Drosophila melanogaster: one gene and its partner. The protein of the gene in region 2 interacts with the protein of the main gene of each other region in a pairwise test. Each region holds a gene or a part of one and is shown on either strand. Other genes may lie near its edges.

Region 1 (5,225 bases), on a different chromosome or scaffold from region 2:
GTCTTTTACAAGAACAAGTCCGTGCACTGCAGCGTTCATGGTCATGCTCATGCCGGCATCACGATGGGTGCAGGAGCAGGCGCCACGACTGGCGCCGGATTAGGAGGCTCTGTGGCAGATAATGAACTGAGCTCCCTGGTTGTCCACCGGAGAGTTTTTGTCGATCGGGATGAAAACCGTCAGGTGGCCACCGTCATGCACTATTCAGAGCTAAGCAACCTGCTCCGTGTGGGCAACATGACGTTCCTGAACGTGGGTCAGTTACTGCCGCATCAGCTGGAGGCCTTCCACACACCCCACTACATCTACCCCATTGGCTACAAGGTGGTAAGTACAAGTACCAGCCGGTCGGCCGCCATGTTTATGAACAGCAATCTTAAATCCCGTTCCTCTTCCTCCCCCATAGAGTCGCTACTACTGGTGCGTGCGACGACCCAATCGTAGGTGTCGATACATTTGCAGTATCGCAGAGGCCGGATGCAAGCCCGAGTTTCGCATCCAGGTGCAGGACGCCGGCGACAAGGAGCCGGAGCGCGAGTTTCGGGGCAGTTCGCCCTCGGCGGTCTGGCAGCAGATTCTGCAGCCAATCACGCGACTGCGTAAGGTGCACAAGTGGTTGCAGCTCTTTCCCCAGCACATCAGTGGTGAGGACCTATTTGGCCTAACGGAACCGGCCATTGTGCGAATCCTGGAAAGCCTCCCGGGCATTGAGACGCTCACTGACTACCGCTTCAAGTACGGTCGCAACCCGCTTCTTGAGTTCCCGCTAGCCATCAATCCGTCTGGAGCGGCGCGTACGGAACCCAAGCAACGACAGCTGCTCGTCTGGAGGAAGCCGCATACGCAACGCACGGCCGGCAGCTGCAGCACGCAGCGGATGGCCAACTCGGCTGCGATTGCCGGAGAAGTGGCCTGCCCGTACAGCAAGCAGTTCGTGCATTCGAAGAGCTCCCAGTACAAAAAGATGAAGCAGGAGTGGCGCAACAACGTCTACTTGGCGAGGTGAGACATTAGGTCCTAGTCAATAACCACTGATTACTTAAGCTCTCATTTTCTAGATCTAAGATCCAGGGTCTTGGCTTGTATGCAGCTCGGGACATTGAAAAGCACACCATGATAATCGAGTACATTGGCGAGGTTATCCGCACCGAGGTCTCCGAGATACGCGAGAAGCAGTACGAGTCCAAGGTGGGTTTCGCGACCATGTTTTCTTGTAACTTTGACTAATCTCTGATTCCCCAGAACCGTGGCATCTACATGTTCCGGCTGGATGAAGACCGCGTGGTGGACGCCACTCTAAGCGGCGGGTTGGCGCGCTACATCAACCATTCGTGCAATCCCAACTGTGTTACCGAGATAGTGGAGGTCGATCGCGACGTGCGGATCATAATATTCGCCAAGCGGAAGATCTATCGCGGCGAGGAGGTGGGTCCCGCAAATAGAAGTGTTTCGCCTGTACCTTAACTCACAATATCTCTTAAATTCTGTGCTTTAGCTCTCGTACGACTACAAGTTCGACATTGAGGACGAGTCGCACAAGATACCGTGCGCCTGTGGAGCGCCCAACTGTCGCAAGTGGATGAACTAGAGTCGGGAGGAGCCTCTAGCGGAGGACCAAAGGAAGCGCAAGAAGCGGCGGCGAGCACGTCGCTCCCAGTGAACAGGAACAGGAGTAGAGACAGGAACAGGAACAGGACTTGTATCTGATCAAGTAGCTAGATTCGCTAAGCATTATAGTTCGTGTACATTTATATATATATATATATATATATATATATATTTATATATATATAGTTTATATGCTATATGCAGATATGCTCGTGGAGAGCATATGACCTTGTAAGTTTTGTATATGTGCCCACTGTAGCCAATTCGTATCCTTTATATCGCTCTTAAGTGCAAAAGTGGAGAGTGTCTTCATAGTTTAAATTGAATAATTGCTATCGTTTCTACATAGAAAGAATATAAATGTTACTGCTAGGACACGACCACCCCTGTAATGTATTTCGGACCCCCTCTCCTCACACAGTCGCTGGAGCACCTAATTTTATTTGTTTTAGCACCATCTCCACATTCATCACTACCACCATTGCAATTATCGCGAGGAAACTGACCGCCCCGATGGCCAACCCAAAACTTGACTTTATGCGTGTGTGCCTTCCCCTCTGTTTACCATTATTATTATTATCATAATTGTAGCGGTTATCTTTCAATATTCGGCCACTTTACATGGGGAGCGATCCTTCTTTCGCTGCGTGTATCGTGCGCAACCTTCTTTGAATATATACACTGATAAGGATATGAACACCTACTTCTATTTTATTTTATTTAAATAGTTTGCGATTACTTTTAAGTACATTAACTAACTCCGAACAACGTGTATTTTTCATCCCCTTAAATAGTAGCTAAGTAAATTTTATGCCACCATTTTACGCACGTGATCTTTTATTCCAACTTATTGCAAACGGCAAACTGGAAATTACGAAATGGGGACGACAGATATTGCACCTAAGATCTTCGCTTGGCCAGCGCCAGAAGCCTCTGGAGCTGGACTGCGGCAGCCAGGGTGAGTATGTCGAAGTTCTTCAGGTACCAGGAGATGTTGTACATGATGTGGATGCGCCAGTTCTTGTCGAGGAACGCTTTGTAGAAGTGGCTCATCTGGTCCGCGGACACTTCGCTGGTTCCGCTTTCCTTGTGCAGGCGGATGAAGTCTTCCTTTTCCTGTAAACGAACCAATTCGAAAGAGACGACATTAGCGGACTAGAAAGAGATGGCACAGTGGTCGTGGTTGTACCTCGTAGAAGCGCTTATTGTGTTTTGTCCAGAAGTCCGTGTTCCATGCCTCCACCTCGATCCGCTTAAGACGCAGGCTTCTTGCCAGCCGCGTCTCCTCATCGCCGTAGTGCCGTACGTACGGACGTAGGTTTGATTGCGCGTCTGGCGGTCCTATATAGTCGCACTTCACCGTCTTGGGATCGGGCTTGTGTGGCAAACCGACGACGGGTTTTTCTTGTGGCGGTGGACATCCCGGCTGCACTGCGGCATAGCACCGCGGTAGCTGTGTAAACAAGAAATTGAAAATCCGAATCCTATAAGGCAACACACTCATGGACTCACGCTGAACTGGAAAAGCGATATCCGGGGCTGGCACCTAAAACATTTGTTCATTTTTCGGTTATGTTATGTGAGGTGCAGTGTGGCCGACTGTCACGCTAGGCAACAGATTAAATATTGATGCCAGCAAATATTACGGGCATTCGCATGCGATTCTCGACTGAATATCTGGAGTTCAGAAACCAGTAGCCAGTAGCCAGCCAGCTGATACATGTCGACAAAATCAAGAAACAGTTTCTTTTTCCAAAATGGTCGCATATTGCATGTTTCCAGTCGCAATTGAACCAATAGGAATGCAGCCTTGTGAACAGTTAGACCAAAGCTTAAGCAAGAGTATCAGAAGAGATGTGAACCCCTCTTGTTTCCCTGTTCGTGACACGCAATCGGCACGTCATGCTCGAGCAAATACCAAAATCCCTAGTAATTTGCTTGCGTTGTGAAAATAAAACGATATACATGCACATCTCTAAAAACAACGTAGAAACAGAGGCTAGTACACTTTCTGTTTATTATGCTCGCCTCATGATTGCAACAAGAAATCTACTGTCGCAATTCGATGCTTCAAAATTATTTCGGTCAAAATGGGCAAGATTATCGACTGTAGACACCAGGCGAACAGAAAACGTTGGAGTACGACCGCTGATCGCTCTGAGAAATTAAACAGCCGTTCATTGTCAGAAGGGGTCAACTCTGGCCAATCAACATTAAGCACTATGGGAAAGAACCGTTCGATTAAGTCCAGTCAACGCCTAGAGATACGTAAACCATTTGTTTCATTGTTCGTGTCACGAATTAGGCACGACATATGCGAATAAGCCAAAATTTCCCATGCTATTCCATTGGTACGTAAAAATAAAACGAGGCACGGGCACATCCCTAAAAACTAAGTGGAAACTTAGCTTTGGACTTTTGCAGTGGATTATGTTCGCCTAGTGTTTTGAGCTAAAAAGTGTTTTCGTAATTACAAAAACGTACGTATGTACTGAATTCCCCTATTAAGTTTTTTTTTTTATATCGTATTTGAACTGAGACCTATCGTTCTCTTCTAACCACCTCTATCGTTTATAGCTATCCCGTGACAATAAATCCAACTGGAAAAAACAAACGGAAAAACTCCGGGGAAAATTCCAGGGAAAATGTCACCCAAAAACAATCATGATCCCTCGTCGTCCGGCGACTCTGGCAACACCAATGTCCAGGAGGCGGACCTCCAAGGTGAGTTTTGACAGCGCCCCGTTTCTGCTCGGGATTGGCTCTAATGGAATGACCCCTACAGAGATGGAGGACGTGAACAACAGTCTGGACGCTCTCAGCTGTGCCCTGGACGCCGTGGAGCAGCGCACAGACGACATTATGTCCCAACTACGGGAGCTGCTGAACTCCAACCGAGAGATCCGTCGCCTGATTGCCGAGGAAAATGACAACGCTCCCGAATCGGGAGATGACAACATGGACGGGCAGGCGGGCAGCGAAGCGGCACCCAAGTAGATCCCTCTACGAGAAGTTATTGTTTTGTTCATCCAAATCGTTTTTAGGCACAATCAGTGCTGTTTTTTTTCTATTATCATGTATTTTTGTCCTAAGTCCTAAGTAAACGTAATTGAAAGCAAGCTTAAGGTTCACTATGTCTTCCGCGCTTTCTTGCGCTTTGTCTTCTCTGTGATTTCAGCCTGGCCATTGGTATCGCTAGTAATATACTTGAAAGCTATCTGGAACAAGCGCATTGACTGCGCTTTGAGGCGCGCATTCTCGGCCTGCAGCTCTTGCACTCTTTCGTCGCTTGTCTGTGCTGAGTCTGGCTGATATTCTGCATACGATTTTTCGGACTCAGCTTCCTTGGAGGCGGTTTCCATTGGCTCGGATTCAGGTTCTTCTTCTTCGACCTCGGAATCCTCGACATCTGTAGCTTTGGTTTCCGCCTCAATTCCTTCGTCGTCCTCGTTCTTTCCCGAACTCATGGACGCTATAAGTTTGAGTATTATCTCCTCATCCGTACCCGGATGACTTTGGGTGTAGTCCAGCTCCGGTGTCTTGCGTCCCCCGGAGTAGTCCGGATCGAAGAGCTCGATACAGTCATTCTCATCCCACGGACTAATCATTCGCTTTAG
Region 2 (8,170 bases):
GTTTGTTTACATCATATATAACTAGTATATACCTTTTACTTAAGTAGTCTTATCCCTAAAATTCTAAATTCTAAAAAATAATCCAAATTTGATTTGATTTGATTGTGCTGAAACAACATGATTGTGGAGATAGTAGAGAATCCTGCTGCTCTAGAACATAATTCTTTTAATGATCACTTAAATAATGCAGAAAGGGTATTGCATAGAATAGAAGCATACAATGTAAAGCTAAATAATCATATGAGGAGATTGAAAGAACTGCTGGCCAACAATAGAAGATTGATTTCGGGGCTATCGTACAATGAGCACAGCATTAAATCTTTATTGGAAAACAAAGCTCAAGATAAACAAATAGAGTAAGCTAAAGAAGGAAATATGAACTCGGTTATAAACTAATATATTTTTAGGCGAAATTCAAGTAAAAGAAGGTGTCATCTTCGTAGGACTTGCAAGGCGACCAACATCAGAGAGGCATGTTGGACGCAATGCAAGTCTCACATGGAGCCTGAAGAGGAAGAGCAAACCCAAGACGTGGTGGAGATCCAAACGAAAACACAAACATCTAGAAGCCGTTCCGGAAAAGTATGTGAACGGCAGAAAGGTGGTAGGGAGCTGAGTTCATATTACGAGCTAAGTGAGGAGATTGGTTTCAAAGGTAGGTTTTTATCAATTTCTGAGATCTCTTTCTTGAAATCCAAGTATATCCCAAGTGAAATGCATGCTAAAGCTTGTCGAAAAGATGGATTTCAAAACGGCCACAATTGCCGAAGTGAAAACCATTCGCAGAAGGGTGTTAAGTGCAATATCAAGTCGCCAAAAAAACCTGCAGTGAGCCAGAAGGAGTTTGGTCGCATCTGATATGTATGTCGAAAAATCCGTATTCCTACAAATAGGCAAATTGAATGAAATAAATTGAAAACTCTTTTCAAAATAATGACATTAGCTGTTTAATGATATTTACATATGAGGACAAGAACATTAATTTCAAATTAGGCTTATCGATATGAATCGAATTTCATGCGCAGGCGCATCTAAAATTGATTCACTCTAGCTGTGTGTTTTGGAACAGAATGGGGTCCTTGGAGCCCGAGAAAGTGTGATACAGCTGGCTCCTCCGGACAGCCCTCAGTTTACAATCACTGTCAATGTCAACATCTCGAGCTCGGCAAACGGAAAACCCACTCAAGCATTCGGCATGGACTTGGACGATGTGGCTAGTCATCACGGATTCGGTCAACATATGGCCACGTACAATGTAGAGGTGAGTCCGCCCCCACCCTTCGAGCGAACCAAGTGCGTTGTATGACCGACCCACCCTTACAGACCTCGGCGGTGCACAGGAAACTTCAAAGCAAGGTGGAGGCACTTCGAATCCTGCGCCAGGAGCTGGAACAGTTTCGCGTGGAGCGAGACCAGTACAAGCTGGTGGCGGAGACCCTGCAGCTGCGCTACTCCGCGCTGAAGAGTAATAGCGAACTTCTGGCTGTCGGTGGATGTGGAGCCCTCAGCGAGAACTCCAGCCTGGCAGCCCTGCTCCACGAGACGCGCGAGCAGAACCTAAAGCTCAGCACCGAAGTGGAAGCCCTGAGGCAGCGGCTCAACGAGCTGCATGGCGACATGGAACTACTCCGGGAGACGGAGGCCAGCAACAAGTCGCGGGTACAGGCAATGGCCAGCGAGAATGCCGCTCGCAACAAGGAGGAGCTGCAGTGGCGTCGTGAGCGGGCAAACTTTATCTGCCACCTGGAGGGCCTCAAAAAAAGGAATGCCCAGCTGGCCTTCGACCTGAAGGCGGTGATCGATGAGAAGGAGGAGCTGATAACCGAGCGGGATGCCTACAAGTGCAAGGCACACCGCCTAAATCATGAACTCTTTGTGGCCCTCAGGGCGAAGAAAACGCATCCAAGGGTGAGTTAACTGATGCTATATAGTACTTACTTGATAGTTATTGATTTTCCAGCTCCTGGACATCGATGGTGTTTTGCTGGAGAACAAGTACCTGCATGAACGTGTGAAGATCCAAGACAGCGAACTGGAGCTCACCAAACAGAGCATCAATAAGTACAAGGTACTGGTATTAGTTAAGACTTATTACCATTTTATTTATTTATATTTAAATCATTCAGACAATGTTGGATGCAAAACGAAAGAAGGGAATTGTAAAACTTGGCGGTGGGAGCACAAATGAGGACACCATTCTAAGCCCCCGGCAAGGTGAGTAATTATATGGTGGCCACCTCTTTCATGCCTTTCTAATTTGTTTGTACCCTAGTGAAAACAATCCTCGAGAGTGGCATTGAGCTGCCTCAGAAAACCGAGAGCTTAAGCGATCTAAAATCCTTGTGTCTGGCCCTGCTGGACAATCTCAACGACAAGAACTTGGCCCTGACGCACCAAAAGAAGACCAACAAGTAGGAAAATCCAGCTGAAAGTTGATATATATTTCATAAACCCATATTTCCTGCAGAATACTGGCTGGCAAAATGACGGAGCTGGAGCAGCGGTGGCAACAACTCCTCTCCGGAAACGATGACAACGCAGAGGAGCAGGAGGAGGACGTGGAATATGGTTATGCGCCTTCGCAGCTGCTCCTCAATGGCTATTGTGCCGCCATGGTAGATGACGCCGACATCAGCAGCACTCCGTCCATTGAGCCAGATAACGAAGGCGTCGCCATTACAGCGGATCATGAAGATTCAAAGAAGCACAAGTCCGTTGAGGCTCTGCATTCCGACGATGGAATGTCCTCGCTTTCAACGGAGTCCGTGGATTCGTCTGTGTACGGTGCAGATGTGCAGCCCGATGACTTCCAAAAGTCTTCATCCGCCACAACAGATTCGGGCAACTGTGGATTGAGCAGCCGCTGCAACGGCACGCCACGAATATCCAGTGCAGTGGCACGGGAACGTATGGAGGATCTGAAGGACCTGCCGCCTCACCTGGCCACTCTGGTCCAGAAAGCACTTCACGATCTGGACATGCGGGACTACGAGGCTATGGTGACGATACGAGCAGAGAATCTGGCGGCTATTCCTTAGAGAAAAACTAGTTCAATTGAGGACTCCCAAAGAAATGGATGAAACCATATCTCAGTGTTGACAAAAGATATAATACATATATATATTACCGCAACAGCGTACAATAAAACCAGATTATATAAAATAAATCACTTTATTCAATCGATATTGCGTTGAAACTGGATATGTACAATAACTATAGCATACAGTTTTAAAAGACGCGCCCAAGTTATCGATAAATAATATGCGGAGTGTTGCATACCGTTAGCATAAACACACTCTCACACACTCTTATTTCTGGGTATACATTTTCTGATAAGAATGCAATAAATATCCCGACTGGTTGGAGTAATTTCGAGTTTTTGAATTAAAAATGCCTTAAGAAAAGTTTTTAATGAGCCATGTAGAGTTAACACCAGTGCCACATATCCTGGGAATGGAGCACCAATCAAAAGTCATCATCAAGCGGCCCAAATCAGGCCAATTCTAGTCGGAAAGTCGTTGCAGCCGCCCATTGCCACCATGTCGAATGATGTGCAGGTCGCCCGGGTGGCCAAGATAGCTACCGATGTGCCGCGTCGCAGTGGCAAGCAGCGTGACTCCAGCGGATTCCAGGGCAAGCACTCCGGCAGCGCGGCTGGCGAGGATTTCGAGTACGTCTTCGGTAGCATTTCGCCGCGCGGTGGAGGACCCGGTGGCAGGCACTTGGTGGGATCCTCCGACCTGGACTCTCCGGAGCACACGCAGCGGGACACCACCGAGAGTGACAACAACATATCCAGCTGCTCCACGCTAGACATTGTCAACAAAGTGAGTAATGATGCCCGCACTGAGAGAAATAACTAGATCTTAAATCAAAAAAATCAATATATTAATTTGCAATGATACATTGGTACTAAACATGATCAAGTTCATTTTAAATTAATTTTTAAAATGATCACAAAATATTTAAAAATACCTCATTATTGTGTAGTTTAAAATAAGAAACGCAGAATTTTCAATCATTGGTTTTCAAAGTGTTTCGGGCTTTAAATTCGGTTGGCGTCCAGTGCGCAGATGCGTGTGGAAGGCTGAGGGTCAAGTTGCAGCGGCGGAGAGCGCGGATGCATCCGCGGTCGGATGACGACGTAATCGCCAGTCAAAATTTTCCACTGGACCATGATTTCGGAGCAACTGCTTCCGCGCAGCTTGAGCTGCCTGTGCTGCAGCGATACGCCATCGGTGCCCAACGACAAGAGACGCAGTTGGGAGTATACGCTGATGGCTCATCCTCTGGCCAGACGGCCCATAAACGTGATGACCCCAAGAATAACCACTTAGAAAGCTCTAATCCGCCTCTTTTCTTTTGATTCACCTCCAGGTTGAGCAACTGTCGGTACAACAGCTAGAAAACCGGGTGCGGGATCTAACGCAGCGTCTGCAGCAGGCGGAAAGACAGCTCACTGAGAGCAACACAGAGCGGGAAATATGCCACAAGCGCTTGGAGGTTGTCAGCCAGGCCCACGAGTGTCGCATCACAGAGATGCACTGTGTCATCGCCGAGTTAAGCAAGAAATTGCGCAGTAAGCAGGACCACGTTATCATGGAGGAGCAGGAGCCCGACGGCAGCGGTGCGTAGCAGTTTCAAATGAGGGAAACAAACCCCTAACCGACAGTCTTGTTTTCAGAACTCAGCTTTCAGGAGGGTTCAGTGTACAATTCCGAGCTTAACCTCACCAATCCTGATGCCGAATGTCAAACAGAACCACTGGAAGACTTCGAGGGCGCCTGCAGTACCACCAGCGTGGGTAACGTTGCCCACAAACCGCCGGAACTGAGCCATAAGGGACAAGTGGAGGCACTGCAGGAGGAAGTTCTGCACTTGAGAGCTCGAATCGCCCTCCTCCAGTCCGAGATTTCCACCAAGGATGCTGCTGTGGTCGAGGAACAGACCAAAGTCGCCTTCGACTGCGAATCGGAAGTCAACGAGTGCGGACAGCGACTGAATGATTTGAATGGTAATATAAATAATCCTGATGATAAAAGAATGGTTACACATTTAGATGCTTTCAGTTTGCACTTCCTTGACAAGTCCGCAAAAACGCATTCCAGCGGTACCGAAAATGGCTGAACGGGTTAAGTTGCGGTGCGCCAGCAAACATGAATCCGGAGAAGATCCATCCCAAGATACTTCATTGAGCAACGAGGTGTGTTGACCAAAACTTTATTCAGAGAATACATTTCAACCCATACAACCCATAATTTTAAGCAAATTAATCTGGTCGAACATTTGGTGTCGGAGCTAAAGGAGCAAAATCTATATATGGAGAACTTTATGGAGCCCCTACATTTGAGCAAAGACTTGGAGCGACTGCAACGACGTGTTGAACAATTGGAGATGCGAAACACCATGCTGGCACTGACGCTAGACGAATGCAAGGAGCACACTGAGCATCTGTATCTGCTATGCGGAAAGTACGAGTCCAATGCGGTTGCTCTTCAGTTGGCGCTTAATTGCAGTGATCGCGCCATCGAGGCCTACGACGTAATGTTGGCTCTGCTCGAAAGCAAGTAAGTACAATCACCATAAGACGCGGGTTGTTGTCCCTATTTCACAATTCATCACTTCCAGGTTGGCACTGCTGGGGGAGAAATCAGTGGCAGCGGAAGAGAGTCGACGATCGGTGGAGGCGGTGGCCAGGCACCTGCTAGCCCGTTTGGATAGCGAGAAAAACGTTTGTGAGAACAGCCTGGGACCGTGGCAACACAACATCAACCTGGGCCCAGAGGATGCCCCAAAAACTGGCCGCCCGTGGTGTGCCGACGACGACAACCGCCTGCGTTACCACGTCTCCAAGCTGAAGGGACGTCGTTCCAATGTCCAGCATACCATTGTCAGTTTGGAATCACCCTTCAGCGACATATACGAAAGAAAGCGCCTGGCTTTGGAAAAGGAGCACGAACTTCGGAGCGCGGACAAGAAGTCACCCATTGACTTGGAGACAGCAGTGATTATGCAAGAAATACTCGAGCTGCGGGATTCGAATTTGCAGCTGAAGACAAAAATGGAAGAGGCCGAGCAGGAACGGCAGAACGCCAACGAACGAGTGGGCATACTCCACGAAGCCCTAAAGCAGCTACAGGCAAACAACCGGGTCTCGTATTCGGAGGCGGAGCATGCGGCTCTCACAGAGCAGCAGTTGGTGGAGGCCTTAACTCGAGAAACGGAGCTCAAGGGTCGCATACAGACGCTATTGGCAAATGTAACAGCTTCGCAGAAGGCCTTCGACGAAAAATACGAGCAACTGCATCAGAACGTGCGTGAACTGCAGAAATCCAACCAGTAAGATTCGTTTTATTTTGACTGTTTCATACATAATTTCTTCATATTTCCCTTTTAGCAATCTGGGCCAAATGTTAGATCACACCAAGCGCAAGTACCAGCTGCGGGTGAGGAAGCTAGAGCAGAAGATTGTTGACCTGCGGCTGGACTACGAGCAAGGCCATAACCATGTTCCTGAGACTACTCTGTAGGAAACGCATGACGACCTTCCAGGAGGACTGAGCAACTGGGCGTGGAGCGGGCGCGCTTGTCACATATCCCGCAAAAGATCTTTCCCTCTCGATCATATCGCTTATTTTACCTTTAATGCAATGACCACCCGCCCAGCAGTCGCCGTGGATCCGCCATGACCAAGACAGTATCACGAATGTGCCATGCGACTTAATTGCAGTCGGCTGGGGCTTGGGCGGTGTCCCTGCCTCGCAGATAAGGCTGCAGTAACTACATACTCAAATACATACATATTCAGAGGTGCCATGAGCAAGGCTCCACCAACCTATCCATAGATCCGTGGGATTGGAGCATCCGTCTATGGGCCACAAGCAATTACATATACACACATACGAATAGACAAACTAAGGAGTTATTCAAGACGCATACACGGGATCCTATATTTATACAATGTATTCGCATTTTGCTTGTTATATGATTCAATATGTATTTAAAACTGTACAAAATATAAAACGTCTACTAAAACTCGATAAAATTCACGAATTTGAAATTGGCTCCAATAATTAATCGATAAGCTAATGAAACTAACTTAAGCATCCATCACCATTTCGTGTAGTGTTGCAAATCACCAGAATCAAGTATATGAGTACTTGTGAAATAAAAATGTTTTGAAAATTTAACTTAATTTACTTAAAATGAGTGCCACAGATGCATCTACAGCCGATAGTGGCGCTAAACGAAAATCTTCTGAAGATATCACACACAATTGCAACGCAAATTTTGGCGCAGAAAACGGCCTAAGAAAGCGCGTAAAATCGGAGGAGCCTGTGGCGTCCATTAAAGATGAAACAAATCCTGAAGTTCCTATGAAAATAAAAGCTGAGCCAGTGGAGAATGCAGATGAGCCCACAAGCACTACTCCTGCGATCAAGATTAAAGCCGAACCAGCGGACAATGGAAACTCACCTGCAGCTGCGATGGTAAAAACCGAGCCCACTAATAGCAATGCACAGGACGCCGCCGACGAGTCTACCGTATCTTCAAGCAGTATTAGGACTTCTTGTCGCTTCGGCATACGATGCTACAGGTGATTCACACTAACCAACTCCCATATTACCAACTAAAAATATACCTTTTTCCAATGACAGGCGAAATCCAGCTCATCGTAGTGCAGAAGCTCATCCGGGGGATCAGGATTACCGGCGACCAAACTTTCCAGCGCCACCCCTCGGAACTCCAGCTTGTCCTTTCGGTAACGCATGCTATCGCCGTAACCCAGTTCACTTCCAGGATTACTCCCATCCTGCGGATTGTAAGTAGAAGGCTTGGCATACTTCGGCTTCAAATTGGCTAAAGCCCATTGTAGTCAATTCCGCGCAGAACATTCGAAATCGTCTGCGTCAACGGCGAGCCCAACGGCAGAACGACGATGACTCGGGGACGGATGAGGAGGATGAACCCTTTGGTGGCGACAATGACAGGGATGCGGACTACCGTCCAGGCGCAGACATAAACGAAGATGAGGATGATGAGCTGGAGTTTGATAGCCAACCAATAAGTGGGGATGACTATGATTAGACTATAAATTCAAATTCGCTGTTAACTTAGATGATACGTTCCATTTGCCGAATAATAGGCTTTATATATATATATTATATTC

The links.
Region 1: the proteins of CG34404 (region 2) and CG14818 interact in a two-hybrid assay, tested with the Drosophila melanogaster proteins (2 studies listed by BioGRID).

The regions. Positions count from the first base shown.
Region 1 is NC_004354.4:1,878,519-1,883,743, reverse strand, and holds CG14818 (uncharacterized protein), read left to right. Parts: upstream 1-3,969; 5' UTR 3,970-4,088; intron 4,089-4,163; exon of another isoform or gene 4,164-4,185; 5' UTR 4,186-4,253; coding exon 4,254-4,332; intron 4,333-4,393; coding exon 4,394-4,605; 3' UTR 4,606-4,725; downstream 4,726-5,225. Other genes in the region: trr (trithorax-related), read left to right, coding at 1-327, 407-1,002, 1,059-1,188, 1,243-1,425, 1,496-1,588; Coa8 (cytochrome c oxidase assembly factor 8), read right to left, coding at 2,509-2,724, 2,798-3,061, 3,121-3,171; CG14805 (uncharacterized protein), read right to left, coding at 4,740-5,225.
Region 2 is NT_033777.3:15,362,804-15,370,973, reverse strand, and holds CG34404 (uncharacterized protein), read left to right. Parts: upstream 1-3,308; 5' UTR 3,309-3,539; coding exon 3,540-3,827; intron 3,828-4,151; exon of another isoform or gene 4,152-4,175; coding exon of another isoform or gene 4,176-4,310; exon of another isoform or gene 4,311-4,377; coding exon 4,378-4,627; intron 4,628-4,684; coding exon 4,685-5,014; intron 5,015-5,069; coding exon 5,070-5,203; intron 5,204-5,265; coding exon 5,266-5,567; intron 5,568-5,628; coding exon 5,629-6,339; intron 6,340-6,397; coding exon 6,398-6,530; 3' UTR 6,531-7,041; downstream 7,042-8,170. Other genes in the region: CG14868 (uncharacterized protein), read left to right, coding at 1,196-1,261, 1,324-1,908, 1,961-2,068, 2,127-2,214, 2,273-2,411, 2,468-3,038; CG6171 (uncharacterized protein), read left to right, coding at 7,206-7,597, 7,659-7,822, 7,877-8,088.